Canis lupus familiaris: one gene and its partners. The protein of the gene in region 1 binds, or shares a complex with, the protein of each later gene. Links are inferred from orthologs where the notes say so. Each region holds a gene or a part of one and is shown in the gene's direction. Other genes may lie near its edges.

Region 1 (4,186 bases):
TACTGGCCTTGAGCTCGGCCTTGGGGAAGATACCCGCTGAGAGGTCATTTGGTGGGTAATTAGTGGAAATGCTTTGGACCCTAGCAGTAGGCCCTGGAGAGACGAGCGGAGGCGGGAATGACCCTGTCGGTTTAGGCGGCCCCAGAAGTACCGGACTTTCTAAGAAGGATATCTGGCTGCAGAGACGAGGCTCCGAAGATTTACCCCTGGGCGCCTCTTGTCCATCCATCGCCCCCGAGGGCCGACAGTATGGAGGAACCGTAAACGCACAGGCTTCTTAACCCTAAAAGCCCTCAGGTGCCCCCTCGCCAGCGGGAGCAGACGCGGCGCCACCTGGGTCGCCCTCGAGCAGCAGGCTCCACAAAGCCCACGGTGCAGGCGCTGCCAGGTGGAGAGATCAGGTCGTCCCCCTTCGCCCCCACGGCGGTGGGTGGCTAATTAAAAAATGCTTATGCCGCGACCACCACCAAGAGGCACCTTTAGCGGTCAGAAGCCCCGTGGAGTTCGGTCACCTGGCCTTTGCGGGCGAATTAGGCCCGGGCCTTTCCCTGCGCAGGGCAGGCGGCCGCAGCCAGCAGTCCTGGCTGGGCTCCAGACCGGGCCCGGTGACATCACCAAACTCCTCCGATCAGCGGGAGGGGGCCCCCGAAATCCCCTAAAAACATTGTGAGTAATCACCGGGCCCGCCCTCCAGACGGAGCCCAGACCGGGGAGGGAGCCCAGCAGCCCTGCCAGCCCCGGAGCGGCGTCGGGACGAGCAGCCTCTTAGTCCCCGGAGCGGCGCAACCTGTCCCCAGCCTCGGGCCGTGGCGTCCGGCGCGCGGCCTCTCCGTCGTCGGCGCGGGGCACAGTTGCCCCCCGCCCCGCCCCGCCCCAGGGTGGCGGCGGCAGCGGCAGCGGCAGGGGCTGCGGCGGCCGCGGCGGCGGCGGAGGTGGCGCAGCGCGCAGGCGCGGCCGGATTCCCGGCAGTGACGCGGCGGCGGGCGCGCGCGGCGCATTTCCGCCTCTGGCGAATGGCTTGGCTGTAGCGCGCGCCGCGGGCCCAGCTGCGACCCCGGCCCCGCCCCCGGGACCCCAGCCATGGACGGTGAGGGCGCCCTCTGACCCCGCGGGGTGGGCGCGTCGGGGCCGCGGGGATGGCGACGGGAGCCCCCGCGCCGCCTTCCGCCCCTTCCTGCGCCGGCGGGTGCTGCGCAGGGAGCGGCCGGCCGGATGGTGGCGCGGGGCGGGGCGGGCTTTGAAGGGTCTGACTCAGTTTCCCCACTGGGTGGCGGGGTCTTGACTCCGTAATCTCCGGGGTGGCGGGGAGCTTCGGCCCAGCTTCACTCCGGGGCCCTGGGCGCAGGTCTGACTTCGTTTCCTCGTTAGGGGAAAGTGTATCCGACTCCGTTTGCTCTCAGGATGAGGCGTGGGGGTGCCCTCCGTAGTTTTCCTTTTGGAAGTAGAACAGCCTCTGACTCCGTTTCCCTCAGTAAGGAGAAGGCGCTCTGGCCAGTTTTCCCTCGGGAAACAGCTGTTTCTGCCTTCTTCACCCCTTCCCCTTAGTTTCACCGCAGGTTCCAGGGAGCGGGCCCTGCCCCAGTGCCCTTGGCGGGGAGGGAGCCTGGCGCTCTGTCCTCTCCGTGAGGAAGCAGGCGCTCCCCGGTAAGGACGGAAAGGGGGAAAGGGGGCTTGTGCTGATCCTTGTCTCCCTCCCTTTCAGACCTGTTTCCCCTCATCTTCCCAGCTGGTAAGTGGACCGCCTTCCCTCTCGGTGATTGGGGGAGGAGTGCCCTGGGGTTAGGGGCGAGGAGGGCAGCCGCCTGATTGGAGCTGGTCCGGGTCTGGCCACAGAGCCCGCCCAGGCCTCTGGCCCCTATGTGGAGATCATCGAGCAACCCAAGCAGCGGGGCATGCGCTTCCGCTACAAGTGCGAGGGCCGCTCAGCGGGCAGCATCCCGGGCGAGAGGAGCACAGACACCACCAAGACCCACCCCACCATCAAGGTCAGCATGACTGTTAGTGGTGGTGTGGGGGGCACAGGGTGGGTTTGCCGCCTCCAGGTGGGGGGTGGGGCTGGGTGCAGTGTCTGGGAGTTAGGTTTGGACTTCCCGGAGTCTCTAGAAGTTCTCTGTACTTTGAACAGATCAATGGCTACACGGGGCCAGGGACAGTTCGCATCTCCCTGGTCACCAAGGACCCCCCTCACCGGCCTCATCCCCATGAGCTTGTGGGGAAAGACTGCCGGGATGGCTTCTATGAGGCTGAGCTCTGCCCCGACCGCTGCATCCACAGGTGAACTCCTGACCAGCCGGGTATGGGGGGTGAGGTGAGGAGACGGGAGGCTGGGTGGGTGTGTAGCTGTTATAGTGTTACTCCATTCTGGACACTGGGAAGAATTCTTCACTTCTAGCTTTGCAAGCAGATTCTCTTTGCCTTGAAATCATCTGTGCATCTCAACTGTCAAGTAGATATGAGCTCCATGGGATAGGAATGGATCCCTAATAACCTCTGAACCCCCAAAGTAACTTCACTGATGAAAATAACATAGTTAGGTTGGAAGAATAGCCCACTGGTGGAGGGAAGGTCGGCAAGTTGGAGGTCAGGAAAAGCCTCTCTGTTAAGGCTTGAATAGTGAGGAGAGCAGAGAAGCATGGGAAAAAACATTTCAAGCAGAGTGAACAAATGCAAAGGTCTTGAAGTGGGGGTGAGTTTAGGGTGTTTGGGAAACAGAAAAGAAGCGGCTGTTACTGAGGGTAGGGAGCCCAGGCAGCAGGGCACAGATGCTTGTCAGCCAAGGTAAAGAGTGGGTTTCTTTACAGCACAATAGGAAGCACAGTGGTGATTTGGTGAATGGGGAGGGGAGGGAGGAACAGACTGGGCAGAGACAATGGGACTAATACATGGAGAGGGACTCAGCTTCCAGAACCTGGGGATCCAGTGTGTAAAGAAGCGGGACCTGGAGCAGGCCATCAGCCAGCGCATCCAGACCAACAACAACCCCTTCCAAGGTGAGGGCTGAGGGATCCCTGGGTGGCGCAGCGGTTTGGCGCCTGCCTTTGGCCCAGGGCGCGATCCTGGAGACCCGGGATCGAATCCCACGTCGGGCTCCCGGTGCATGGAGCCTGCTTCTCCCTCTGCCTATGTCTCTGCCTCTCTCTCTCTCTCTGCCTGACTATCATAAATTTAAAAAATAAAATAAAATAAAATAAAAAACAAGTTGAGGGCTGAGGGAGCAAAGGCTGAGACCTGTCCGAAGCACCCCCACCCTCTCTGGTTCTTCCAAGCCACCTCCCTTATTGGCCAAGACTCTTAGTACTGATGGAATTTTGCTGCCCATTCAGTACCCACTCCCATTTACCACTGGGGAAACTGGGAGCCAGTGAGGGGGCATAACACCCAGGGGCACAGGTGGGTCACACAGTTCAGTGATGGGTCTAGAATCTTCTCTCTCTCCTCCTTTAGGACTCCCACTGTTTGACACACCCTCAGACAATGCTCCCGGGTCCAGAGCTCCCTGCCCCCCTCATCCCCTGCCACGCCTCCCGGTCCCCTGACCGTCTATTCTTGTGGCAGTTCCCATAGAAGAACAGCGTGGGGACTATGACCTGAATGCGGTGCGGCTCTGCTTCCAGGTGACAGTGCGGGACCCGGCAGGCAGGCCCCTGCGCTTGTCACCTGTCCTCTCCCATCCCATCTTTGACAACCGTAAGTGACCAAGGAGCCATGGGAAGGGTAGAGGGAGGGACAAGCCTGTGAGGAGGAAGGGGTTGGTGGGGAATGGCCCACTAGAGGAGCTCTGGCTTCATGCAGGCATCTAGTGTATTTGTCACCTCTTCTGTGTCCAGCTCTGTGCTGGCTGTGGTGGGGGTTGGGGGGGGGGGCGGTTAATGAGACAAAGAAGACCTGGATCTGCCCTTAAGGTGTTAGCTTCAAGGCTGGCAGGAAGTCAGATAGAAGACAGGTACTTGGAATATGTGATGGGAGGATGGTGTGCCCGTAACTGTACTAACGACTCTGGGAAATGAACTCCTGGGAACAAGATGATGTTACAGAGTAGTACTTCAATGATGAAGCTCATAGGAAGTTCACAGATGGGGACGCCTGGGTGGCTTGGCAGTTGAGCGTCTGCCTTCAGCTCAGGGAATGATCCTGGAGTCCTGGGATCCTGGGATGGAGTCCCACATCAGGCTCCCTCTATGGAGCC
Region 2 (3,107 bases), on another chromosome or scaffold:
TCAAAGGGAAGGGACAGGGAAATTTCTGAGAGGCAGACTGGGGGAGGCAGCACTCACCTGGTACTGCTACCCTATAAAACAAAATGGTATGTGTCACCGCCACCTTCTTTATCTTGGTCCTGTCTCTCTCTCCAGGTGCTAGCGTCCCCCTTGGGGAACCAAATTGGGCTGAGCACCCAAGTGGCCTGCTTCCCAGCCTTTGACAGAAGGCAGGCTGAGTCAGGCAGGAGAGCTGGGCCCCCACCCTGTGTGAGCCCCACTGATACATGATGGCAGGCGGCTTGGAGGGGGTAGGTGACCTGGCGTGGAGAGCCAGAGGGTAGGTCCTCAAACAAGTGGTAACAGGCCACCAACTTGAAAGGGAAAATTGTGCTGTGATGGGGAAGGTGTCCAACAAACCTACTGGATGACTAATTACAAAGGCTGGGCTGGAGCGTCAGGGGCCGCTCATTAAATACCTCATTAAGTGGCACCCTGAACGATGCCACCTGTGCATTCTGGGACCTCAGAGGGAACCCTGAGGGGGGGTGATGACCAAGGGAGAGAACCATTTCAGGTAGACTCCGGAAGAAGCCTGGATTTCACTTCTAAATACAGTCTGGAGCTTACAAGTCAGAGGCCTTGACGAGAGAAGCCAAAGGAAGTAGGATACAGGGGATTTATTAGCTGTGTGACCTTGAGCAAATCTCATCCCTCTCTGAGCCTTAGCATTCCCACCTCTAAAGTGGGAGTAAAAGTCATAGTCTGGCCCATCTCACAGAGACATAGTAAGGATTCAATCCAATCGTGGCTGTGAAGGTGCTTGGGAAACTACAGCCCTACCTAAACATAATTATCTCACCCAAACCAAGGTGGAAAATGTACCTGGTAGGATTAAGAACCCCATCCTCCTGGGTGCACCTGTCTTCATGCGCTCTAGCCAGGCTGAAGCGGCCACTTGGTTGAAGCCATCCCTGGCCCCTGGAAGAACACCATGAAGGAGGATCTGATTTGAGAAACTGGGGCATCTGGGTGGGCACTCATGGAATCAAAGCACCGAACAAGAGGGGGCAGCCTGGAGCTTGGAAAGGTGTCCTGTGCAGGTGGGGCCGACGCCCGGCGGAGTTCTCCCGCAGACTGAGCCCCGATGACTCACCCTACATCCCAGCCTTTTACCTTTAAGGAAGAGCCGGAAAGGGTGTGGGGAGAAGACCAGAGGGAGGCAGGTCCCGGGCCCCAGCCCCGCCCTCGGTCCCTCCCCACCCCTCTCTGGGGCCAGACCTTCCAGCCAAAAGGCAGGCAGAGAGCAGGAGAGGCACAGAATCCGGCATCGGTTTCAAGGCAGCCAGTTAGCCCGCCGCCTGTCTGTCACCAGAGCCATGGAGAGAGCCAGTCTGATCCAGAAGGCCAAGTTGGCAGAACAGGCTGAGCGCTACGAGGACATGGCAGCCTTCATGAAGAGCGCCGTGGAAAAGGGTGAGGAGCTGTCCTGCGAAGAGCGAAACCTGCTCTCGGTGGCCTACAAGAACGTGGTGGGGGGCCAGAGGGCTGCCTGGAGGGTCCTGTCCAGTATCGAGCAGAAAGGCAATGAGGAGAGCTCGGAAGAGAAGGGCCCGGAGGTGCGAGAGTACCGGGAGAAGGTGGAGACCGAGCTCCGGGGCGTGTGTGACACGGTGCTGGGCCTGCTGGACAGCCACCTCATCAAGGAGGCCGGGGATGCCGAAAGTCGAGTCTTCTACCTGAAGATGAAGGGCGACTACTACCGCTACCTGGCCGAGGTGGCCACTGGTGACGACAAGAAGCGCATCATTGACTCAGCCCGGTCCGCCTACCAGGAGGCCATGGACATCAGCAAGAAGGAGATGCCACCCACCAACCCCATCCGCCTGGGCCTGGCCCTGAACTTTTCTGTCTTCCACTACGAGATCGCCAACAGCCCCGAGGAGGCCATCTCACTGGCCAAGACCACCTTCGACGAGGCCATGGCTGACCTGCACACCCTCAGCGAGGACTCCTACAAAGACAGCACCCTCATCATGCAGCTGCTGAGAGACAACCTGACGCTGTGGACCGCCGACAACGCCGGGGAAGAGGGGGGCGAGGCTCCCGAGGAACCCCAGAGCTGAGCCGCCCACCGCGCCCTCCCCGCCGCGCCCTGCCCTCTCCAGCACCCCGCCCGCCCGTGGCAGAGAGGACTAGTGTGGGGTGCGAGGCCCGACCCTCCTACCCCAATGCTCTGCCTCCTGCTCACGAGAGCTCCGAGGAGAGGAAGCAGCAGAGCTGAGGCCGGCTAGGGCCGGGGGACTCGCTCTTCCTGCCGCTGTCGGGGCCCGCCCACCCCTGCTCTCCGCACCCCTCCCCGAAACCCCACCGCCAACCGGGCCACTTCCTCCCCCTCCTGCCTCCCTCCTGCCCCCCGTTGCCTCTGAATCTTAGGAATTGAGGAGTGTCCCACCCTTGTGGCTGAGAGCTGGACTGTATGGCAGAGCCTGGAGATGAGTGTGTGTGTGTGAAAGAGCGAGAGCGAGTGAGAGCACGAGTGAGAGCGCGCAAGACCCGGATGAAAGGGAAAGCATGTCTGCTGGGTGTGACCCTGTTTCCTCTCAATAAAGCTCCCCTGTGACACTCCTCCTGTCTCTTCCAGTTATTGGCGAAGCGATGGGACAAGGACTGGCTTATGATTTAGAGACCTTGACTTCTGATTTAGGGCCTTGACCTCTCACGGGGCTGGCTCAGGGACCCACAGGCAAGACTCTGGAGCCAGTGACCCCAGGTGAGAGGCTGGGGGGCAGGAGGTCCAGCTCTCCATCAGGGTGGCCCCCAGCAAGCTGGTCTGGTCCCGGACGGTCGGGGGAGCGCAAAGGCGGCCCTAAGGCTGCTCTAGGGCTGCAGGGCGGGGGGCTGAAGAGTCCAGATCTGAGGGGACAGGAAAGCCTCTCAGGTGTGAGGTCCGAGCGACAAGGACAGGTTGTAGTGAGCCGCAGCGAGCACCCCGGCCTTGAAAGCGAGTTAGAGGCCCATCCAGTGCTCAGATCTGAGAGGAGGGGAGCACAATCTGGGTAGAGGCTTGCGCCGCCATTAAAAGCCCGTATCTGAGAGGGGATGCCCCCGCCCCCAGCGCTCCGACT
Region 3 (4,300 bases), on another chromosome or scaffold:
GCAACTATGACCACTTCAGGGTCAGCGCACTCATCAGTATCCCTCCCTAGCTCTTCCAAGTGAGCGTTACAAGAATATGGCTCCAACTGTGGAGATCAAACATACTCTAGTGCTAGCTATGCAGTACACCTAGCAGACAAAGGGCTTTATATGTTAGGGGCAATTGGTACCACAATCATCTGTGCAGTCTGCCCAACTCTAGCAGATGTTTGGGAAGTACCATTTGCCATCACCTCCAAGTCTGATACTCCAGCTCCATAGCAACCAAGCACATGTAGGAATCCATCATCTGCTACCACACATTACTGAGGCCTAACACGGCTTGTACATGCCATGCTCAACATTTTGGTTGTACCATTCAGGGATTCTGAATCAATAGATGCATGTTCTCTGCCAGAAGCCAATTCAATGCTTTCAAAGCAGCCAGCAACACTGCTGTGATGCACATGCTGTATTCATCTTTAGGCTTCTCAACATGTTAATCTGTGGGTCACAAAGTGTTGGTTGGAATTTAAGTACTGAGATCACAGGTGGGACTGTGCAAACGATGGCCCAAGTGCACATGATGTCAAGGGGTGTTCAAATGACTACTTTATGGAAGCAGTAACTGATATATTTCTTCAGAGAACTGGATGCCATAGTAATTTTTATACCCAGTTCTGGATATACTGACTGGATCCCCAAGTTCTGTGAGGCTGAGGCATATGACCAACTTAAAGTGAAAATGGGAGGTTGGTTCTTCCATGCTAAGGCTATCTGCCAATGGCAAATGCTTCTAGTTGCACCAACAGCATTCCTGAAGCTTGCCTCTGCAGCGCTGCATCACGAATCAGACACAGTTCCCTCAGTGAGGAACCACTGCACTGGCAAACCCATTAATGGAAGACCGACCACTGGACTGCAACCTCCATGAGGCACTTCGGGGAAAATTCCCCAAATCAGGAGGAACATTCTTTACTCCACAACAGTGTCACATCCTTGAGTCCTTTGTGATTACAGGCGAGATCCTGGTACAGGTGTACAGGAAGTCAAGCAAAAGATCTGAGCCTGATTTTATGGAAGATGATTAATCATTAAAAAAAAAACTATAAAGTGTAATGCATCGGTAGACGTGTTAGCGCAGGATTCTTTATAGTTTTTCGGATTCCGCAATATTTGAATCACTGGTGGCTTCTGCCAGTGCCACTTCAGCGAGCGGCGGAGTTGGAGGATAGATGGTAGAGGTCTGAAGAAAAGGTGAAATGCAGACAGGGTGGAGACGATGTGGAGTTTAGAACATGGCTTGAATGGAGAGCTTATAGTTTGGAAGCCTGGGAAATCCTATGTGGGTTCTCTCAGCCAGGAGAATGCCCAGGAGACTTAGCGGACTGGAAGCGAGCTGCCCTCATCCCGACCCTTTCTCTGGCCAGGTTCCTGTGTGCCCCCGGGAGCAGCTAGGGAAGGGCTTTTCCTGTGGCGGTTACCGGAAGTGACGCACACATCTCGCGAGAAGAAAGACGCGCGAGTCTCGGCGGCCCGGAACCGGCCTGGGAAGAGTGGCTGAACTTCAGGCCGCCAGCCCTCCCGCCCCATGGAGCGGCCCCCGGGGCTGCGGCCGGGCGCGGGCGGGCCTTGGGAGATGCGGGAGCGGCTGGGCACTGGCGGCTTTGGGAACGTCTGTCTGTACCAGCATCGGGTGAGGTGGGGCGAGAGAGGGAGCGGCGGTGGGTGTTTGTCAGAGCGTTTGTGGAACACAGCGACTGTCAGTACGTGAGACATTGTCGGTGAGACTTTGGGCAGCACCGTGGGCCGGTGAGCCTGTGTGAGTGAGTGTGTATTACTGTGCTTGTCGGTCTGGTGACTGAGTCCGAAGCTGTATCTGAGGTCCTGGGTCAGTGTGTGAAATAGAGCTCTTGTGGGGGAACTTTTGGTACGAACGTCAAGAAGTGACAAACTGTTTACCGAGTGTGACACTGCGATTGTGTCTCCGAGTGTAGAGGGTGTCGGGATGTGGGAGGCAGAGCCACATTAGAGTGTGTATTGTGAGCATGAATGGGTGAGAAAACGGGACTGAAGAAGGGGGTTGTCTGTTGGAATGTGTGTTCAAGTGTGTGCTTGGAGGCTGTGTGATATTTGTAGGGGCTGGAAGAGACAAGGAAGGTTTCGGAAGCATCCAGTAGGCTTCAGATCTTGGAATGCGTTCTGAGTAGGGAACAGTGTGAGGATCAGCTTGGTGAAATGATCATGGCTTCCTAAGGGAAGGAAGTAGATTGGGCGTGAGGTGGAAGACAGCTAACATCGGAGTCAGGAATTTTGCTTCAATTTAATTGAAAATGTTTAAGCATTTAGCAGCAGTTAATAATCATGTTTGAGCCATGCATCTTTCAGTATACCAATAAAAGCTATGAAACCTTTCCCCAGCAAAATGCACAGTTGCACATCCCCACCACCTTAGGTGCTGCCATTTGAGGGGGCTCATGCTCTCCTGAAGGATGTTCACAAACCTTTTAGAGGTATTAACCCTTGACTGATAATCTTTGCAGTGTTGCCTTTGTTTTTGTCATCTGTATTTTGTGTAAGATAGTTATATACATCATAGGTCTGTTTGAAAGTTAAAGAAGTTAATATGGGTAAAGCTAAGTACAATACCTGGCCTAAGTTAAGCCCTCAAGTGTTAGTTCCTGCTGCTGTTGTGTTGTTGCTATTGTCATCTTCTTTACCATTATTTTGTTTTCTTCTTTACCATTATTAATTAAACTTAAAAAAGGATACGTCAAGATAAAAGTGGCGCCCTTGGAGGACTGTTTTGTAAAAGATAAATCTGAGTGAAAAACACGGGACAAGATGAACAATTACAATATTATTCAAATGCATGCAATTGGCTTGTAAAGGGAATAAATGAATTCAAGATTTGCTTGAATCTTAAGGAATAGGGGTATGGGTAGAGAGCCCATAATATAGGATGGGAGGTAGGGGCATGGGAGTATACCTGGGAAAAATAGGTATGTTTGTGTGGCAGTCACAATGACAAATGTCAGTGATGGAGCTGAAGAAATGTTGTGAAGCAGCTTTCTAGATAGAGCATGGGAGGACATCTTGAAGAGAGGGAGAATGGGAGGTGAAGGACTAAAGCATTAAGTACTCTGACAGCTAAACAAGTAGTAAATTTAATAATTCTCACCATCAGAGAGTACATAAGGCACTTAAAGAGAAAAGAAGGAGCCAAGTACTTCCAGTGAAATGTTGCCTTTGGTGTTGTTATCTAAGCCTGTTCATTAGCCTGGTCATAAAAAAATATATGCTTGGTAGCTTGCTTTGTGACTGCTTTTCTTGGTCACTGGTTGGAAATAGATCAACACATCATTTTTTAAAAAAATTGTGATAAGGTATATATAATGTGAAATTTACAATCTTAACCATTTTTAAGTGTACAGTTCAGTGGCATTAAGTACATTGACATTGGTATGCAACCATTACTACCATCTATTTCTAGAACTTTTTCACTTTACCAGTCTGAAACTGTATTCATTAAACAATAACTCCCCATTTCCTCCTCCCCCTGCCCCCTGGCAACCACCTTTCTACTTTCTGTCTCCATGGAATTAATTACTTATTAAATGGAAGAGATTTGGGTTCCTCTAGAATCCTAGAAATCTCTCAGGAACTTTCCAGGTATCTAGACTGGTTCTTTCCTCAAATTGGAACATTTGACAACGGGGCTTGTAGTGGAAAGAGAAGAAATACTCTAAGACTTGGAAATAGCTTCATTACTTTTCCAAGCCTGACTTTGGATTTGCCCTTAACAGTTTTCAAGATCTTTGTGTTTTGGTGGAAGCCACGTCCCCAGTATTTTATCTATATCTCTTAAATCACAATGAGGAAGAGAAAAGGATGTGAGATGGTTTATTTATCAGATTATTATGCTGGGATGGGTGCTGATGGTATCCCAGTCAACAAAAATCGTATTTTCTGCCCTCAAGGAGATTTCAAGTCTAGTGGGAGAGGTAGACACAAAAACACTTTAAGTACAGCGTGGTAACCTATATAACAGATATATTTATAAATTTTTTTTTAATTTTTATTTATTTATGATAGTCTCACAGAGAGAGAGAGAGAGAGAGAGAGAGAGGCAGAGACACAGGCAGAGGGAGAAGCAGGCTCCATGCACCGGGAGCCCGATGTGGGATTCGATCCCGGGTCTCCAGGATCGCGCCCTGGGCCAAAGGCAGGCGCGAAACCGCTGCTATGATAGAGTGGCAAAAATAACCAAAGAATTCTTCCTAGGGAATAATGTAGCACTTCTCAAAGTGTGTTTGGGAAA
Region 4 (4,006 bases), on another chromosome or scaffold:
CAAATTTAAACACACCCAAATGCTCCTACACCGCCCCCTTTCCTTCCGACCCGAGGTCTTGCAGCCTACTTCGTTTTCCCTGCATATGTGAGATGCAATCAATGGGTAAATATATTTTCAAACTATTTCCTTCCCCCCCCTTTTTTTTTCTGAAATATTCGCACACGTTCCTTCGTAGCTCGTATTATTTCCGCCTCTCTAGTAATAATATTCCCGACACAAATGTACATCCTCGGAATCCATTCTCTCCCCGCAGTCACAGCACCACATCACGGCAGGTGCCGCGGTCTCCGCCTTCCAGAAGTTAGCACTTTGCGGCCAAGCAGCTTCTTTGACTTCCTAAGACGAGGTACCTTAAGAGGCTGTAGCATCACTGGGTCACCAGCGCTTCCCGAGCTCCTACCTGTTGCGGGGACAGGTGTGCAGGGATGGACGGGTCGGATGCGCCTAAGGCGTCCTTTCCCTTTCCCACCCGCTGTCCCTCTCGCTTCCCGCCGCGACTCGCGAACGCGCGTCCCCCCTGCGCGTCCCAAGCCCACGGCCCGGGCCTCGCGCGGCGGGAACCCCGGGGGGGCGGGGGGCGGGGGGCGGCGGGCGCGTGTCCCGACCCAGACTGGGCCGAGGCGCAGCTCGCACTTCCTGTAAAGCCAGCGGAGCGCGCGAGCCGTGCCCTGGAAGAGAAGGCGCACTCGGGGGGGGGGGGGGGGGCGGGGGGATACTTTAAGTCCGCCCCAATCCTGGACCGCAGAGGTCCGAAGCGGCCCCGGCAACAGGAGCGAACCAACTCGTTCCCGGGCCTCCCTTCCCCTCCCCGCCGCCCCCCAAGTCGCCCAATTCCCGTTCGCTTCCTCCCGGCGGCTCCCGGGCACGTGGTCCCTCCCCGCCCTGCCCCCGCCGCGCCCTCCCAGCCTCCCCCGCCCTCCGGCCCTTCCTCCCCGCGCCGCTCGCTTCCCCTTTCCGTTTTCTCTTCCGCCCCCCGCTCTCCATCGTCCTCTTTGATTGGTCGAGCGCACCGGAGCCCGGTTGGCCAATCGGCGAGCGGGGCTGGCGGCGATGGGCGTGGCCGCGGCTCCGGGGCCCTCAGATCGAGGCTGCCTCCCCCTCTCAGCCGGCAGCACATTCCGCCGCCGTTGCCGCCGCCCGGCCCCGCAGTTGTCTTCGGCGGAGCTGCGGTCGCGCCGGGGTTAGGGCGGGGGGGGCGGGCGGGGAGAGGAGGAGGAGAAGGCCGCGGCGGAGGCAGCGGAGAGGAGGGAGGAAGCGGCGGCGCGGCGGGCACTGCAGCTGAGGCGGCGGCCCGGTTCCTGGGAGTGTCGGTGCGGCGTGGTGGTTGGGGCGGATCCCGCGGGGGCCCGGGCGGGGGAAGGAGTCACCGGCCCGGCCATGGCGGACAACGAGAAACTGGACAACCAACGGCTCAAGAATTTCAAGAACAAAGGCCGCGACTTGGAGGTAAACTCGGGGGCGCCGGAGGGGTGGGGGCTGCGGGCCTCGGGCCGACGTCCGCCGGGACTCCGGGCGTGGGGGGCCGGGGCGGGCGCCGTCGCCGGGCCGCGGGGGAATGGCGCTGGGGGCCGGCCCGTGCGTGACGCCTCTGCGAACGCGCCGGGAAGTTTGTGTCGGGCCTGGTCCCCCCTCCGCCCGGGAGCGGGGTGCGGGGGTACGGCCGGCGCGGCCTAGGCCTGCCCCGGGGAGCCGGCCCGGCGCGGGTGCGAGGGGCTGGGCCGCGCGGCGGGGAGGACCGGGCGCGGCGAGCGCGGAGGAGGCGTGCGTGTGCCGCGCGGCCCCGGCCCGGCCCCGGCCCCGGCTCCGGCCCCGGCCCCGGCCCCGGCGGAGATTCCGGCTCTGCCCCGGGCCCCGCCGTCTGGCGCCGCGTGAGGAGGGCGGTGGGGGGGGGGGGGGGGACGAGCGTGCGGCGACCGAGCGGGGCTCGGAACTTCCCCTGCGGGGTCCGAGTCGTCTCCACTTAAAGGCGTTTTCTCTGGTCTTCCCGACTCCCGCTTTACCCCTGCCTCCCCCCGATGTCCAAACTACAGGAGTCAACTTCTCCGTTGAAAAAAACACCCCCGGCGTGAGAGGCCATCCTGGTGGATGCTAACAGTGCCTTCCAGCGGCCTGTGTTTTACTCTGGATATAGCTGATTCAAGATGTGGCTCACGGTGTGCCCTCTTCCAGGCAAAGAATACCCCTTATTTCAGCTTGCTCACAAATCTCTTTATCCCCTCCTGAGAGACCACCAGCTGCATTCTTATATATAAAGTCCACAGGGTTATACAAAGCTGTCATCCTCTAGTCTACAGTATCCTTTCCCTCCACCTGCAGGTGGTGGTAGTGGGGGATGGGGTGGGCTCTGGAATGGCACCATCCCGTTTTATTTTAGAAGGGGGGTGGGGGGGAACCCTTGATTATCTTCGATACAGCTCCCCCTCCCCCCCCAGGTGGTTAGGCTACATGAGGTGTGTGGGTAAAACACACACACACACACACGCACACCAATCACAGAATTTTGATAGACTTTTCTTCCCTTCAGTGTTGAGAGTCTAGGTAAATCGATTCTTTTTTTTTTAATACGTGCATCCTGTGCCTGCATCAGGAATGTAGCTTTTAAAAGAAAAAGTGGTCAAGTAGTAGTTTTTGTATTGCTTCCTCTGTACTTTTTTATACTAAAATCTCCAAATTCCCATCACCTGTTTCTGAACTTTGAGCATTTGGTTGACTGAGATAGTAACTATCCTGGGGGGCTTTTCACAAAGCCGTTCAATCTTTAAGGTAGTTTGTGTTGTTTTCAGTAGGTTTCATAGTTTGAGGATCTATTAAAATACCTGAGGATGTGGTTCTTAATTCTGTGATTGTTTTAAGGTTAATGTGAGATATTATCCTGTGATCCTTTTTTTCCTGTGGAAAATTTTTAACAACTTTATTGATATAATTCACATGCCATAATAATCACCACTTTAAAGGTACAACTTACGATTTTTTCATTAAATTTACCTACTTGGGTAATACTGTGATGAAGGAAATTTTTTACTGATATCAATATTTAGAATGAAAACCATTACGAAATTTAAAAACATAAATACCTCAAGTTACAAAATCCAAAAAATAGCGATTAGATGCTTGACAAGTTCTGATGCTTTCCCTTCACCTACATTTCTGGCTGCATTTTTTTTTTTAAAAACAGCTTCATTGAAATGTAATTCCTATGCTATACAACCCTGTGCAGCCATTAGCACAGCCAATCTTAAAATGGTCTTATCACTCCAAAAAGAATCTCTATTTCCCTTTACTCTCCATCTAGATTTGCCTATTCTGGATATTTCCTATAAATGGAGTTACATAGTATGTGATCTTTTGTGACTGGCTTCTTTTAGGTAGCATAATGTTTTCAGGGTTTTCACATGTAACAAAAATAAAACAGAGCCTCGTTCCACCTCGTTCCTTTTTATGGCTGAGTAATATGCTGAATAATAATCCAGCCTATGGATATACCACATCTTGTTTATCCGTTCATCAGTTGATGAACATTTGCTTTGTTTCCACTCTATTTTAGCTGTTATGCGTAATGCTGCTATGAACGTTTATGTACATAGTTTTTTGTGGACCTATGTTTTCATTTCTCTTTGGTTATATCCCAAGGAGTAGAACCAGTGGGTTATACGGTAACTTTAAACGTAACCTTTTCTGGGATTGCCAAACTGTTCTAAAGCGATCCTTTTTTTTTTTTTTTTTTTTTTTTGGTAATTTGATGTTTCCTCTTACTGTCAATTTCTTATCACATTAGTCAAAATAAGATTGTGCTGACTCTATTAGAACAATATTATAAGTGATTTTTAAAAATAACTATAAACACATTAACCAGATTTTTTTGAGAAGTTTATAGTGCCTAGGGACATCCTTGAGGACTTTGATAACCCTGTGGGTACAAAAGAAATAGGGATATTTTCACTGTTTCACCTAGGAAAATGACATGACTCTAGTGGAAACTGTACTTTCTCCTCACTTATTCAAA
Region 5 (4,182 bases), on another chromosome or scaffold:
TGGTCTCTTTGGTCAAGTGAACTTCTACTGGAGTTTATTATTTTCCTCTCTGTATAAAGTGAAGAACCTAACTTTATGTATTCTGGTGGCTGATGTCATGAAACTTTGAGATGACAAAATGTAAAACAAATAAAAACCCTTGTCAAATAGAGTTAATTAACTGTGTTGACAAACTAATAAGTGAAGAATTCAAGTATAGTGCCGCCAGGCCCGTTACGGGAAGCTTTTGAGATGGCAGCATTGAGGTCCTTCCTGGGTTTAGGTGGGACTGAGTATGCAGGAGTTCCCATTGCTGTTTCTACTTCTAGTTCTATTTAAAAAACTCAACTCCTGGGGACCTGAACTCAGGACCACTCAGATCAAGAATCACATGCTCTACCAACTGAACCAGCCAGGTCCCCCACTTATTTACAGTTCTTATCACATTATCTTACCAATCCTTATGTGTTTTTGTTTGTTTGTTTGTTTTTTTAATTAGCTAGTGAGGAAGAGCAGCGAAGAGGGGGAAGTAAAAGGAGAAACAGATTCCCTGCTAAACCGCAGCCCGGTGCTGCGGGATCCCAGGACCCCAAGATCATGACCACAGTTGAAGGCAGATGCTTCACTGAGCCACCGCCCAGGTGCCCACCCATCCTTACGTTAATTCCACATGGTATATGTTATCTCAGTTTCACAGCTGAGGAAACAGAGCCTCAAGATAAAGAATTTGCCATCTTATTAGGCTTCTTATTAAGCCAAGCTGGGAGCTGGCTTTAACATTGTGTGACTGCAAAGCCCTCTATATTCGCTGCTTCAGTTTCTTAAAAGTATTCTACTTTCCTGTGTTTAACCACCATTTCTGATTCACTCATTTACTTAATAGATACTGCGTACCTGCTATGTGTCAACTAATAAAGCACGTAAATAAAACCCCATGTATACGATGAAAAACAGAGGGATATACTAGCAAGTGCGGCGGAGGGGCTATTCCAGCCCTGGGAACTCTTCCCGTGCCCCTTCCCGTGCCCCTCGGAAACACACACGCACGCGCACACGCAACCTGCTCTTACGGAGCAAATAACACGGGTTGGACGAGCTGAGTGGCTGGGACTCGAGATCAGGAAGGCAGACTCAGACCCTCGCTCGATGCGGGTCCTCTGGAGGGACCCGACCGCACGTCTTCTAGACCCCGCTGGGGACACCCCGGCCCCGGGAGCACGTTCCCGGGAGGAGCGATCGCGCAGGCTCCAAGCCCCGCTCGCCCTCCACCCCGCGGCCCGGGCCACGTCACGTGGCCCGCGTCCCCGCCCCCGTCCCCGTCCCCGCCCCCGTCCCCGTCCCCGTCCCCGCCCCCGTCCCCGCCAGGCCCTTCCCCAGACGCCGGAAGTGCGCGCGCGGGGCTCTAGGGCCGCGGGGCCGCGGGGCCGCGGGGCCGGGACCATGGCGACCCGGGCTAAGCGCCGGCGGGTAAGTCGCAGGGTCCTCCCCGCCGCGCCTCGTCCCTACCCTGCCCGCAGCGCGGCCCCCCGCCCCCTCCCTCCGCTCGCGCAGGCCCCCGCCCTCTCACCGCGCCCCTTCCCCCACCCAGAGCACTTCCTCCACGCGCGCCTCGGCCTCCTCCGGGGCGGGCCGTCTCCGCGGCGCTCGCTCGTTTCAGGTGGCGGGGCCCGTGCGCGGTAGCGACCCGGACCCGGACCTGGACCCGGTGGCCGGCTTCCTGAGCTGGTGCCGGCAGGTGGGGCTGGAGCTGAGTCCCAAGGTGAGGCGGCGGGGGCGCGGGCGCGGGCGCGGGCGGGGGCGGGGGCGCGGGCGCGGGCGCGGGCGGGCGGGGGCGCAGGCCAGCTCGGACCGGCCGCTCCCCCGTTCAGGTGACGGTGAGCCGGCAGGGCACGGTGGCCGGCTACGGTATGGTGGCCCGGGAGAGCGTGCAGCCCGGGGAGCTGCTGTTCGCCGTGCCGCGGGCCGCGCTCCTGTCGCAGCACACCTGCTCCATAGGCGGCCTGCTGGAGCGAGGTGGGTGCGCCTGCGGGAGCGGGACGGGGAGGCGGGCCGCGGGGTGGCGCCCGGGCTCTCACCTCCCCGTCTCCCTCAGAGCGAGGCGCGCTGCAGAGCCAGTCGGGCTGGGTGCCGCTGCTGTTGGCGCTGCTGCATGAGCTGCAGACCCCAGCCTCGCTCTGGAGCCCCTACTTTGCGCTCTGGCCGGAGTTGGGCCGCTTGGAACACCCCATGTTCTGGTGAGAGCCTCAGTACGGGTGGGGAGCACCAGCACCATAGCCTAGCTCAAACAGCCCTGGCCCGGGGACAGGGCTCCCAAGCACTAGTCTCGGTGGGATGTGTGAAGGGAACCCGGTGGGGTCTCCCTGCAGGCCCGAGGAGGAGCGCCGGCAACTGCTGCAGGGCACGGGCGTACCGGAGGCCGTGGAGAAGGACTTGGCCAACATCCGCAGTGAATACTATTCCATCGTGTTGCCCTTCATGGAAGCCCACCCGGATCTTTTCAGCCCCAGGGTTCGCTCCCTGGATCTCTACCGCCAGCTTGTGGCTCTTGTGATGGCCTACAGGTCAGTGAGCAGAACGAAGGACTTTTTTGCTTTAGAATTCTATTGAGGGATGAGAGGGGAAAGAACACTGAACCACACCCCAGTCTCTGGGCTTTAGCAAAGTTCTCTTTGTGGCAGCTTTCAGGAACCACTGGAGGAAGAGGACGATGAAAAGGAGCCAAACTCCCCTTTGATGGTGCCTGCTGCAGACATACTAAACCACTTAGCCAATCATAATGCCAATCTAGAATACTCTCCGGTGAGTGGATCCCTCTTAGTTATTCCTTTAAAAAAAAAATGTATTCATGAGAGAGGCAGAGGCAGGCTCCCCATGGGGAGCCCAATGCTGGACTGGATCCCAGGACCCTGGGACCACGACGTGAGCAAAAGACACTCAACCATTGAGCCACCCAGGTGCTGTTATTATTGCACGGATGATCAGGCATTTGATTCAAACCAGTGCTTGTCATTTATGCTGGTGGGACAGTTGGGCTAAGTGGGCTCCATTCTTGGCATGGTAAAAATGCATAGGTGAAATTAGCTTTTTTTTTTTTTTTTTTTTTTTTAATGTATCTTCAGTTTGTGTATTCCCGTCAAATAGTTTGAACACAAAACCTCAGCCCACAAAGAAAGTTTTGGTTAAGTCTCTGCTAAGCTACTGCAATCATTTTTTTGGTGCTGGAGGTTGGCTCCTCTATGCAGTCCGTACCAGTGAGCCAAGGCAGTGTTGGGGCCCTCCTGACATCAGCCTGGAACAGCTATACAGTCATTACTTTTGGGGAAGGGGGAGAAAAGGGCATGGCCATAGGTCAGATCTAAGATGATACCAGGGTTATGTATCAATTCCATTTGCTTTGTGGAAAGTTGCAAGAAAAGATCCGAGTTCTTGAAATTAGGGAATGGCTGTTTTTTTAATCCTAGCCTCTGTCTGCCATTCCTACTTTGATCTGAGTTTAACTGTTCATTTTTAAAAGCTAGTAGCTTTAAGTTCTGAAGAGGACTAAGGAGAGAGACTTACTTAATCAAGTAATGGGGCTAAACTTGACCTTTCTAAATCACACCTCTTTCATCCTATTGTACAGGCATGCCTCACTTTATTATACTTCAGATAGATTGTGCTTTTTACAAATTGAAGGTTTGTGTCAATCCTGTGTTGAGCAAGTCTATCAGTGCCATTTTTCTAACACCACATGCTTCACATCTGTTTTATTTTGGGAAGAATCTTAGTACAAAATTTCTCATTACTATATTTGTTTTGGTGATCTGATCAGTAATTACAACTCACAGAAAACTCAGATGGTTAGCACAGTTTAGCAATAAAGCTGTTTTCTACAATAAGATTTTTATATGCACTGGGATGTCAAAGTTCATTTCACTCGCATTTAAAAAAACTTGTTTTGTGGTGGTCTGGAGCTGAACCCTAAGTACAATTTCTGAGGTGTGCCTATACAGGATCATAATAGGAACTAAAAGTAGAATGTTGGTAGGTATGTGATCAGTCCCATTGTTGAACTGTACCCACTGGGAGGCTTTTCCTAAGAGGGAATTAATCTTCATGGAGCTGCCCAAAGAAAGGCCAGGTCCCAGCTTCTCCCTTCCACCCTAGAATTGTCTTCGGATGGTGGCCACTCAGCCCATTCCTAAAGGCCATGAAATTTTCAAC
Region 6 (4,280 bases), on another chromosome or scaffold:
TGCACAGCTTTTTCTGCCAGTCCCCGGAATCCACCATTCCCAGGGGGCCGAACCAGGAGTGGGGGCAAGGGGCTGGGGTGATGCCCTGAGGGCCCTGGGGTAACTGTCTCCCCTCTGCCACCTCCACCCCCCCCAGAGTGTGGGGTGTGGGAACACGTCCATTTCTCTCCTTCCCTCCACCCTTCCCCAAATCTCACCTGAGCCTCCTGCACCTTCCCTGCCTGGGTCTCCAGAGGGTCAGAGGCTGGGGGAGGAGGGGGAGCAGACGTGGTTACAGTGCGGGGCACAGTTAAGTGGGGATGAAGGGCTTCAAAGCAGAGGGGCAAGGGGCAAGAAGACCCACCAACCTAATTATACTGGGGTGGGAGGTGGTGGTAAAAGCTGAGCAGAGGGAGGGAGGGGATGGGGAAAAGCAGATCTTATTAGGATAGACAGTGCTGTCTGGAGAAGTGGTTAGTGACAGACAGAGGCTGGGGCAGGAAGGTTTGGGAGAGGGAGGAGAAAGTAAAGCATACAGGCATGGAGGAAGACTTAGAAGTGAGGAAGCAAACAGTAGTGAGTGTGTGTGTGAGCACGTGTGTGTGCAGGGAGGGTTAGGGTTTACAAACAGAGGGAAGTTTAAAAAAGGAAGAGAGAAAACAAAATACGCTTAGCAGAGACAGGTTTAGGAAAGGAGGTGCAGTGGAGACAGCACGTTTAGGAGGGGCACAGGAACTAGAGGGACGAGACAGGAGGGGGCGCCAGGGGTCCCCGAGCATCCTACAGTTCCCCCTAACAACCAGGTACCCTTAGCAACCGGGGCCGCGGCAATCTAAGTCCTTAGCAACGAGGGTCCTCAGCAACCGAGGTGCGAGAAACACGCGGTCATTAGTAACTTAGGGGACGTAGCAAAGGACCCTTACAATCTCGCGACCCAGAAACCCACCAGCCTGGCAAGATGGATCACTTAGCAACGACCCCCCACCCCCGCCCCGATTCCCACTGGCCGCCATGCAGCCCCCGTCTCCAGCCCCACCACGCCGGTCCTCGGGCCCCGGGGCCTGCAGCCCTCAGCCAGGCCCCGGTGCGACCCGACCCTCCCACCGGGGCCCCCGACTCACGGTCCGGCTCGGCCATGGGCGCGGGGCGGGGGCCCTCGGGGCTGTCACCGACTGCTCTGTCCCGTGACGGCACCGGAAACAGGAGGGGCAGAGACAGGGCAGAGAACTACGACTCCCAGCAGTCATCGAGGATGCATACAGGCTTTTCGTCCAGCGGCGCCTGCCGCTCTCGGGCTAGGAAGACACGGACGGCGAGACTACGAGTCCCAGAGGGCTCCGCGCAGGCAGCCATGTTGGTAAAGGGCGGCCGGAAACTGTGGGAATGGGTAGAGAGCCGCAGTCCGTCTGAATACTCTGAATGGTCACTGTGTGGTAAGGGGGCGGGGCGTGTGCTCTTTAGGTCATTCTGATTGGGTGAGCCAAGGGGGAGTGTTGGGGAATTCCCCGCAGGGCGGAAGCGCCGGGGCTTCAGGCAAAGCCAGCTACAGGCGGGCGGCCGCTGGGGCCCCTGAGGCTTCGGGGGCCATGGCCGGGGTCGCGTGCTTGGGGAAAGCTGCGGAGGCCGACGAATGGTGCGACAGCGGCCTGGGCTCTCTGGGTCCCGACGCAGCAGCCCCCGGAGGACCGGGGCTGGGCGCCGAGCTGGGCCCGGGGTTGTCGTGGGCGCCCCTCGTCTTTGGCTACGTCACTGAGGATGGGGACACGTGAGTGAACCTTAGGCTGCCTAACGGGGCCCTAGGATCCCACCTCTGATTCCCTATTAGTCTCCTATCCCGGCTCCCTAACCTTTCACTCTTAAATCTAACTTCTGATGCTCGACTTTCTGATTTGTAACTCCTAACCTTTAGTAAAACCAATTTCCTAGCCAACTTTGACCCTAACTCCTTAATTTCTCCGACTTTCCTTTCTTGAGCTCTGCTTCATATTGCTCCACATCCCTATCCATTGATCCCCAAACTGGTTTTGATCTTCCCGACCCAAGTCCGGAGACCTTTGTTAGAGTTGTGGTCCAGACAGGCTCCTCCTCACCTCCTACCTCCAAATAGGATCCTTGATCCTTAGCCTCCTGATGGATGCGCCTTGAACTTAGATTTCCAAAATTAATACATGACCTTGATTCTTAACATTCTACCTTCTGAGCACCGATCTTCAGATCTTACATCCAAAGGGAAAACGTAAGCTCCATGATAGCAGGGATTGATGCCTGTTAAGTATTTGCTGAACACCACCACGTTCCAGGCACTGGTTTAGGTGCTGCGATAAAGCAGTGAGGAAAACAGACAAAAATTTCCGCTCTTGTGGAGTTTACATTCTAAGGTGCGTATGTAGACAGACAAAAGGACAGACAGGCTGACAGAAAGACAGGAAGGAAGGGAGGGAGGGAAAGAGGAGAGAGAAGGAACAAAAGAAACTAAGACACAGACGCAAAGTGAGAAAGAAGAGAAAGGAAAAGAAGAAACAAAGAAAAACGAAAAACAGTATAAAGGAAAGGCAGAAAAATAGTGTATCTGAAGGTAATAAGTTCTTTGGGGGAAAAATAAAGCAGGAAAACGAGATCCGTAGAGTATCTGGGGGAGAACTCTCCAGGCAGAAGGAACCAGAATTGTAAAGGGCGGTGAGGGATTGTCCTGGGGTTTTTTTGTGTATTTGTGTCTACTCATCCAGTCATGGTGACTAAACAGGGCTTGACCCATAAGAGGCGTGCAGGAAATATTGTTCTTTCCAAAGACCCCTGCTGAGGTTTCATTAGTTTTCTTTATTGGTTTTTTGCTTTCTATTTCATTGATCTCTGTTTTGATTTTCATTATTGCCCTCTTCGGCTTACTTTGGGTCTAATTTTTTTTTTTCTTTCTTTCTCTCTTTTTTTAAAGTTTCTTAAGGTGGCAGCTGAGATCATTCATTTGAGACCTTTCTTCTCTAACATTGGTGTTTCATGGTATAAATTTCCAGCAGCAGTACTTTAGCAGTCTCTCACAAATTCTGATATGTTGTGTTTTCATGTTCATTTAATTCAAGATACTTTGTAATTTCTCTTTTGATTTCTTCTTTGGCCAGTGGATTATTTAAAAATATGTTATTTAGGGCGCCTGGGTGGCTCAGTTGGTTGAGCTCAGGTTGTGATCTCAGGGTCCTGGGATGAGCCTCCCATTGGGCTCTGTGCTCAAGTGTGGCATCTGCTTGGAATTCTCTCTCTTTCTCCCTCTGCCCTTCCTGCTTATGCTCTCTCTAAAATAAATAAATAAATAAATCTTTTAAAAAGGGGTAGGGGGCAGAGGGAGAGGGAGAGAGAAACCCAAGCAGGCTCTGTTGGGAGCAGGGCGTGATCCCATGACCCTGAGATCAGGGCCTGAGCTGAAGCCAAGAGTTGGTCATCCAACCCACTGTGCCACCCTGATGCCCCTAAATAAATCTTTTTAAAAAAATAAATATGTTATTTAGTTTCCAGATATTTGGAAAGTTTTCCAAATGTCTCTCTTTTATTGATTTTTAATTTAATTCCCTTGTAGACTGAGAACATACTTTGTATGACTTGGATCCTCGTAAATTTATTGAGAATTGTTTTATGGTGCCACACATTATGCGTGCACTTGAAAAGAGTGAATATTCTGCTGTTGTTGGGTGTAGGGTTCTCTAAAAGTCAATTAGTGGTCCTATTGGTTTATCATTTTATATATCCTTACTAATGGTTTCTGTCTCCTTGTTCTATCAATTATTGAGGAGGGGGCATTGAAATCTCCAGCAGTCATTATGGATTTGTCTCTTGTTCTGTCAGGTTTTGCTTTGTGTAATTTGATGCTCTGTTATTAGGGCATGGATATGTAGAATTATTATGTTCTTTTGCTTAGTTGACCTCTTAATCATTACAAAATAACCTTCTCGATACTTGGTAATATTTCTTGCTCTAAAGTCTAGTATGATATTAAAATATTCACTCCTGGGCAGCCCCGGTGGCCCAGCAGTTTAGTGCCGCCTTCAGCCAGGGCATGATCCTGGAGATCCGGGATCGAGTCCCACATCAGGCTCCCTGCATGGAGCCTGCGTCTCCCTCTGCCTGTGTCTCTGCCTCTCTCTCTCTCTCTCTCTCTCTCTCTCTCTGTGAGTCTGTCATGAATAAATAAAATCTTAAAAAAACACAACTCACTCCTGCTTTCTTTTGACTGACTGGTGTTAGCACAGTATATCTTTTTCCACCCTTTTATTTTAACCTATCTTTTAATACCTATATTTAAAGGGTATTAC
Region 7 (4,063 bases), on another chromosome or scaffold:
GGACCAATTCTAGAGATAGAAAAATTCTGTTAGAGGCTGGTTGGCTAGGAGAATGGGGGTAGGGTGGGGAACGTAAGTTATATTTCTGCAGGTGAAACCAAAGGATGAGGAGCCCATAGGGGCTATACACAGCGCCTGGAGAGGTCCAACTGCTGCCCTCTCCAGGGCAGGAGAGCAGGGAGCCAGCAAGAGGGTAATGTTAGGTTGGCGGGAGGGTGGCCTTCTGTAGGATGCTTTGCAATCTAAACCATCCTTAAGGCCCAATCTTGGGTAAGGCACTTCTCAACCTATTCTTCAGCCTCTTCCAAATGCTTCTGGAAAGACACCGGCTGGGTACCCAGAAGTAGGCTCTGCAGCAGCACAGTGCAAATCAGGAAACATGACCTCAATAATTATTTTGTTCGTGCAGGGCAGCTAGCTACAACCTCTACTACAAAGATTAACACCTTGCTTTACCTGAAAAAAAGTATGGTCCTGTTCAGCGTTTTCGCTGAACACAGGGCAGAGTGCTTGCCTCTCCACCAGTCAACAGGAATGTTAATCCCGAGGAAATGATTTGAGGGTTCTCCAAGCATTTCAATGCCAAAAAATGCCAAAAGCTTTTTGGCTTTTAATGCCAAAGCATGCACAACTTTTACCTGGTTGGGGGGGGGGGGGGGCCTCGAGGGAGTGCTACGTGTGTCCCCGCGCCACAAAGAGCCTGGCATTGGCAGGGTGGCAGAGGCAGCCGGCGACCTTCTAACCCGCCAGTGCGTCCTTCCCCGCAGAAGTTTGGGGAAGCAAATCCCTACGTCCAGCCATCATTTCCACCCGAGTTTTCAAAAGATCAAGAAACGGAAAGGTTGGCAAACCCCAAGGAGGAACTGCCTGGCGGGTCTGCGTTCATTGGGATCTCAGCAGCCGACGACCCCAAGTCGAATCGATCGTGGGAAACCCCAGGGAAAGAAGGCCGCTTGCAGAGGGACAGGATTACCGAGTGCAAGCTGCAGGGAAGTACCGGGGGAGGGGGCCTCGGTCGGGAGGACTTTCCAGCCGCTCAGCGTTCATCAAAAAGTTCCCTGTACATGACCCCAGTGGCTCATCGCCGGGAGTTTCTCTGATGAACCCGGCTCAGGGTTTAGGCTTCTCCCCCTTCCTCCCCCTCCCGAGCAGAGGACGGGGCCAGTTCTCTTTTCTGGTCTGACTGGCTTGGAAATTCCCCGCGCCTGACCCCGCCCCGGAGAAATCCCCTGCCAGCGTTTATAGGGCGCCGCGGCGGCGCTGGCGAGCCCACAAGAGTCGCAGCCAGCGGTCCTGCGTCCGTGACCCTGCGAGGCGAGGCGAGGCGAGGCGGCGAGCGCGCAGCCCGCGGCCGAGCGCACCTGGGCAGCAGCGCCGAGCCTTCCCGCGCCATGCTGCAGCAAGCCGAGCACGCCCAGGACTGGGCCATGGAGGGTCCCCGGGACGCGCTCAAGAAGGAGCGGCTGCTGGACGACCGCCACGACAGCGGCCTGGACTCCATGAAGGACGAGGAGTACGAGCAGCTGGTGAAGGAGCTGCGGGAGATCCGTCTCGAGCCGCAGGAGGCGCCGCGCGGCGCCGAGCCCTGGAAGCAGCAGCTCACCGAGGACGGAGACTCGTAGGTGTCTCGGGGCGGGCGGGGACGCCGCGCCTGCAGCGCGAGGCCGAGGGGCGGCAGCCGACCGGGGTGTGGGCACCGATCCCCCGTACACCCCTGGCCCCGGGACCGCGCAAAGCTGCCGGCTGCGCTGCGGGCAGCAGAGGAGGGTCGGATCCCGGGCTGGCGGTGCAGCAGCCCTGCGCTGCAGCGCGCACCCCCACCCCCCAGCCCCGGTCCGGAGCCGGTCCTGCCGGCGGGGGCGGGGCGGCGGCGGGGACGCGAAGTCCCCGCTTGCACAAGGGGGGCGGGAGCTCCTGCCCCGCGGGCGGGCGCCGGGGGGCCGGGAGGGGAAGTACAGGGCGTTCCGGCCCGGCGGGAGGGCGGGGCGGTCTGGCCGGCGCCCGCCGAGGAGGGAGGGGGCCCGGAAAGTCCCTGGGCGCCTGCCAGGAACACTCAGCTCATAATAACCTCGCGGAAAACACCGCGGCCTCGGCCTCCAGAAACCCCGGCCTTGCGCAATCCCCCGCAGCCCGCGCCTCCCTGGGCCCCACGCGATGCACTCACCAGCCCTGGGGGTTTTTCCCTCTCTTCCCCTTAGGTTCCTGCACTTGGCCATCATCCATGAAGAGAAGGCCCTGACCATGGAAGTGGTCCGCCAAGTGAAGGGCGACCTGGCCTTCCTCAACTTCCAGAACAACCTGCAGCAGGTGCGCCGGCTCGCCCAGCCCTGTGCCTCTGACCCAGTGATGAAGTTGGATCTAGCTCAGTTGCTCCCAATCCTTTCTAAATTAATAATCACTGGGCATTATGTACCTTGACCTTTTTACATTGGAATCGGCCAACGTCCTAGAGAATAAAGAAAATTCTATTGATTTGGTGAGGCCTATGATGAAAGCCCACCTGCGGCCTCTGGCATTTATCTTGCCCTTCATACCTGTCTGGGAGGAGGAGCAGCACCCACAACCAGTAGATCTCCGGAGTTCAAGGGAAGACAGACTCTTGAGTTTGGGCCATGGCTTACCCTCTTTCTATTCCCTCTTGTGTTTGTAGACTCCACTCCACTTGGCTGTGATCACCAACCAACCAGAAATTGCTGAGGCACTTCTGGAAGCTGGCTGTGATCCTGAGCTCCGAGACTTTCGAGGAAATACCCCCCTACACCTTGCCTGTGAGCAAGGCTGCCTGGCCAGCGTGGGAGTCCTGACTCAGACTTGCAGGACCCAGCACCTCTACTCCATCCTCCAGGCCACCAACTACAATGGTATGTCTGCCTGCCCTACCCTGCCCATCAGAAGGCAGGTGACATGGAGAAGGGAGAGGTAGGCCAATGTTAGGAGTCCAGGCAAGAGCTGAAACTCTGAATACTTGAAAGGTTGAGAAAATATGCATGCAAAAGGTCTGTTTCATGCCTTGATAAAGTTCATTCAGAGCCCAGATTCTGGGTTCTCCAAATTCAGAATTTATTCCCTATAAGAATAGACAGAAAGTTCTGCTTGAGATCTGAGGGTTGAAGCAAGTGGTTATATTTGCTTCATTGTTCTTCTAGGTCACACATGTCTACATTTAGCTTCTATCCATGGCTATTTGGGCATTGTGGAGCTTCTGGTGTCTTTGGGTGCTGATGTCAATGCTCAGGTGAGTTCTTCATGTCTCCAGATGGAACGCATCAGGGCTCCAGGCCCTCCTCAATAAGACCTCACATGTTCTTGTTGCAAGTAGAAATTCCAAACTCAACCATAAACATCTCAAATTCCTTTTGGTTTCAGGAGCCCTGTAATGGCCGAACCGCCCTCCATCTTGCAGTGGACCTGCAGAATTCTGACCTTGTGTCGCTTTTGTTGAAGTGTGGGGCTGATGTCAACAGAGTTACCTACCAGGGCTACTCCCCGTACCAGCTCACGTGGGGCCGCCCAAGCACACGGATACAGCAGCAGCTGGGCCAGCTGACCCTAGAAAACCTTCAGATGCTGCCAGAGAGTGAGGATGAGGAGAGCTATGACACAGAGTCAGAGTTCACAGAGGACGAGGTGAGTGTCAACTCCATCGCTCTGCACAAAGCAGTACCCTCCCAGGTCTCTAGAGCTCCTCTTTATCCAAAGAGCTCAATGCAATGAAGTTCTCCCACTTTAGTGTTCATGACCAGGAGTCTCCCAAAAGTGTGTCTTTGTTTTTTGCTCTTTTTAAAGGAGAGGAGCATTAAAGAAAAACTTCCTTAGCCCCTGAGGTTAATTTATACTTGGGTTATGGAGAATGGAATCCAAGAGTACTTGATAATGGCCCTCACCCTTATCCCAGTACCTTTGACAAAACTGGAAGCTTAACATGGCTTTTTTTTCTCTTGTTTTTAGCTGCCCTATGATGACTGTGTGCTTGGAGGCCAGCGCTTGACGTTATGAGCTTCAAAACATATCTAAAAGAACACGGACTTGTATATTTGTACAAAAAGAGAGTTTTATTTTTCTA

Evidence for each region.
Region 2: the proteins of RELA (region 1) and SFN are in contact, whole or in part, in a crystal structure (PDB 7O6I), measured with the Homo sapiens proteins. The link is inferred for Canis lupus familiaris from reciprocal best matches to the Homo sapiens genes RELA and SFN. Residues at the interface, in NP_068810.3 of Homo sapiens: Ala43, Gly44, Ser45, Ile46, Pro47, Gly48, Arg50, Ser51; in NP_006133.1 of Homo sapiens: Glu14, Tyr19, Leu43, Ser45, Val46, Lys49, Asn50, Gly53, Gly54, Arg56, Lys122, Arg129, Tyr130, Gly171, Leu174, Asn175, Val178, Glu182, Ile219, Leu222, Asn226, Leu229, Trp230.
Region 3: RELA (region 1) and CHUK share a complex: the UniProt entries of both Homo sapiens proteins name them as parts of the 70-90 kDa complex. The link is inferred for Canis lupus familiaris from reciprocal best matches to the Homo sapiens genes RELA and CHUK.
Region 4: the proteins of RELA (region 1) and KPNA4 are in contact, whole or in part, in a crystal structure (PDB 7LF4), measured with the Homo sapiens proteins. The link is inferred for Canis lupus familiaris from reciprocal best matches to the Homo sapiens genes RELA and KPNA4. Residues at the interface, in NP_068810.3 of Homo sapiens: Lys301, Arg302, Lys303, Arg304, Thr305, Tyr306, Glu307, Phe309; in NP_002259.1 of Homo sapiens: Lys231, Asp271, Arg306, Asn310, Val312, Thr313, Gly314, Thr315, Asp316, Thr319, Lys344, Glu345, Trp348, Ser351, Asn352, Ala355, Glu387, Trp390.
Region 5: the proteins of RELA (region 1) and SETD6 are in contact, whole or in part, in a crystal structure (PDB 3RC0), measured with the Homo sapiens proteins. The link is inferred for Canis lupus familiaris from reciprocal best matches to the Homo sapiens genes RELA and SETD6. Residues at the interface, in NP_068810.3 of Homo sapiens: Glu307, Thr308, Phe309, Lys310, Ser311, Ile312; in NP_001153777.1 of Homo sapiens: Ser120, Trp122, Val220, Met221, Ala222, Tyr223, Ser224, Phe225, Gln226, Glu227, Pro228, Pro238, Asn239, Ser240, Pro241, Asn259, Leu260, Tyr262, Asn283, Thr284, Tyr285, Met288, Met296, Tyr297.
Region 6: the proteins of RELA (region 1) and NFKBIB are in contact, whole or in part, in a crystal structure (PDB 1K3Z), measured with the Mus musculus proteins. The link is inferred for Canis lupus familiaris from reciprocal best matches to the Homo sapiens genes RELA and NFKBIB. Residues at the interface, in NP_033071.1 of Mus musculus: Lys218, Lys221, Ser240, Gln241, Ala242, Asp243, Val244, Arg246, Gln247, Asp294, Arg295, Arg297, Ile298, Lys301, Arg302, Arg304, Thr305, Tyr306, Thr308, Phe309, Ile312, Met313, Ser316, Pro317, Phe318, Gly320; in NP_001293151.1 of Mus musculus: Tyr53, Thr55, Glu56, Asp57, Asp59, Ala61, Leu64, Ala65, Ile67, His68, Gln69, His70, Pro72, Phe73, Phe76, Asn91, Leu93, Gln95, Leu100, Ile103, Leu104, Gly105, Arg125, Val137, Arg275, Leu283, Arg284, Asp306, Lys307, Leu308.
Region 7: the proteins of RELA (region 1) and NFKBIA are in contact, whole or in part, in a crystal structure (PDB 1NFI), measured with the Homo sapiens proteins. The link is inferred for Canis lupus familiaris from reciprocal best matches to the Homo sapiens genes RELA and NFKBIA. Residues at the interface, in NP_068810.3 of Homo sapiens: Arg50, His181, Lys221, Ser238, Phe239, Ser240, Gln241, Ala242, Asp243, Arg246, Arg253, Asp294, Arg295, Ile298, Lys301, Arg302, Arg304, Thr305, Tyr306, Thr308, Phe309, Ile312; in NP_065390.1 of Homo sapiens: Thr71, Glu72, Asp73, Asp75, Phe77, Leu80, Ala81, Ile83, His84, Glu85, Glu86, Leu89, Leu110, Gln112, Leu117, Ile120, Thr121, Asn122, Phe142, Arg143, Leu150, Gln154, Arg218, Asp226, Leu227, Gln249, Tyr251, Gln255, Leu256, Trp258.

Annotation. Positions count from the first base shown.
Region 1 is NC_049239.1:52,050,666-52,054,851, forward strand, and holds the start of RELA (transcription factor p65), read left to right. Parts: upstream 1-1,386; 5' UTR 1,387-1,401; coding exon 1,402-1,471; intron 1,472-1,702; coding exon 1,703-1,729; intron 1,730-1,812; coding exon 1,813-1,985; intron 1,986-2,125; coding exon 2,126-2,274; intron 2,275-2,898; coding exon 2,899-2,990; intron 2,991-3,555; coding exon 3,556-3,687; intron 3,688-4,186. UniProt on the Homo sapiens protein: NF-kappa-B is a pleiotropic transcription factor present in almost all cell types and is the endpoint of a series of signal transduction events that are initiated by a vast array of stimuli related to many biological processes such as inflammation, immunity, differentiation, cell growth, tumorigenesis and apoptosis.
Region 2 is NC_049223.1:72,665,232-72,668,338, reverse strand, and holds SFN (14-3-3 protein sigma), read left to right. Parts: upstream 1-1,258; 5' UTR 1,259-1,358; coding exon 1,359-2,105; 3' UTR 2,106-2,607; downstream 2,608-3,107. UniProt on the Homo sapiens protein: Adapter protein implicated in the regulation of a large spectrum of both general and specialized signaling pathways. Binds to a large number of partners, usually by recognition of a phosphoserine or phosphothreonine motif.
Region 3 is NC_049249.1:13,186,549-13,190,848, reverse strand, and holds the start of CHUK (inhibitor of nuclear factor kappa-B kinase subunit alpha), read left to right. Parts: upstream 1-1,500; 5' UTR 1,501-1,570; coding exon 1,571-1,675; intron 1,676-4,300.
Region 4 is NC_049255.1:26,798,771-26,802,776, reverse strand, and holds the start of KPNA4 (importin subunit alpha-3), read left to right. Parts: upstream 1-1,206; 5' UTR 1,207-1,380; coding exon 1,381-1,449; intron 1,450-4,006. Other genes in the region: insulin receptor substrate 4-like, read right to left, coding at 354-688, 744-987. UniProt on the Homo sapiens protein: Functions in nuclear protein import as an adapter protein for nuclear receptor KPNB1. Binds specifically and directly to substrates containing either a simple or bipartite NLS motif.
Region 5 is NC_049223.1:57,410,847-57,415,028, reverse strand, and holds the start of SETD6 (N-lysine methyltransferase SETD6), read left to right. Parts: upstream 1-1,382; 5' UTR 1,383-1,419; coding exon 1,420-1,446; intron 1,447-1,567; coding exon 1,568-1,738; intron 1,739-1,847; coding exon 1,848-1,992; intron 1,993-2,071; coding exon 2,072-2,213; intron 2,214-2,345; coding exon 2,346-2,540; intron 2,541-2,657; coding exon 2,658-2,778; intron 2,779-4,125; coding exon 4,126-4,182. UniProt on the Homo sapiens protein: Protein-lysine N-methyltransferase. Monomethylates 'Lys-310' of the RELA subunit of NF-kappa-B complex, leading to down-regulation of NF-kappa-B transcription factor activity. Monomethylates 'Lys-8' of H2AZ (H2AZK8me1).
Region 6 is NC_049222.1:115,001,088-115,005,367, reverse strand, and holds the start of NFKBIB (NF-kappa-B inhibitor beta), read left to right. Parts: upstream 1-1,480; 5' UTR 1,481-1,565; coding exon 1,566-1,744; intron 1,745-4,280. Other genes in the region: SIRT2 (NAD-dependent protein deacetylase sirtuin-2), read right to left, coding at 1,101-1,226. UniProt on the Homo sapiens protein: Inhibits NF-kappa-B by complexing with and trapping it in the cytoplasm.
Region 7 is NC_049229.1:14,263,084-14,267,146, reverse strand, and holds the start of NFKBIA (NF-kappa-B inhibitor alpha), read left to right. Parts: upstream 1-1,263; 5' UTR 1,264-1,391; coding exon 1,392-1,618; intron 1,619-2,198; coding exon 2,199-2,307; intron 2,308-2,650; coding exon 2,651-2,861; intron 2,862-3,146; coding exon 3,147-3,235; intron 3,236-3,366; coding exon 3,367-3,627; intron 3,628-3,948; coding exon 3,949-3,996; 3' UTR 3,997-4,063. UniProt on the Homo sapiens protein: Inhibits the activity of dimeric NF-kappa-B/REL complexes by trapping REL (RELA/p65 and NFKB1/p50) dimers in the cytoplasm by masking their nuclear localization signals.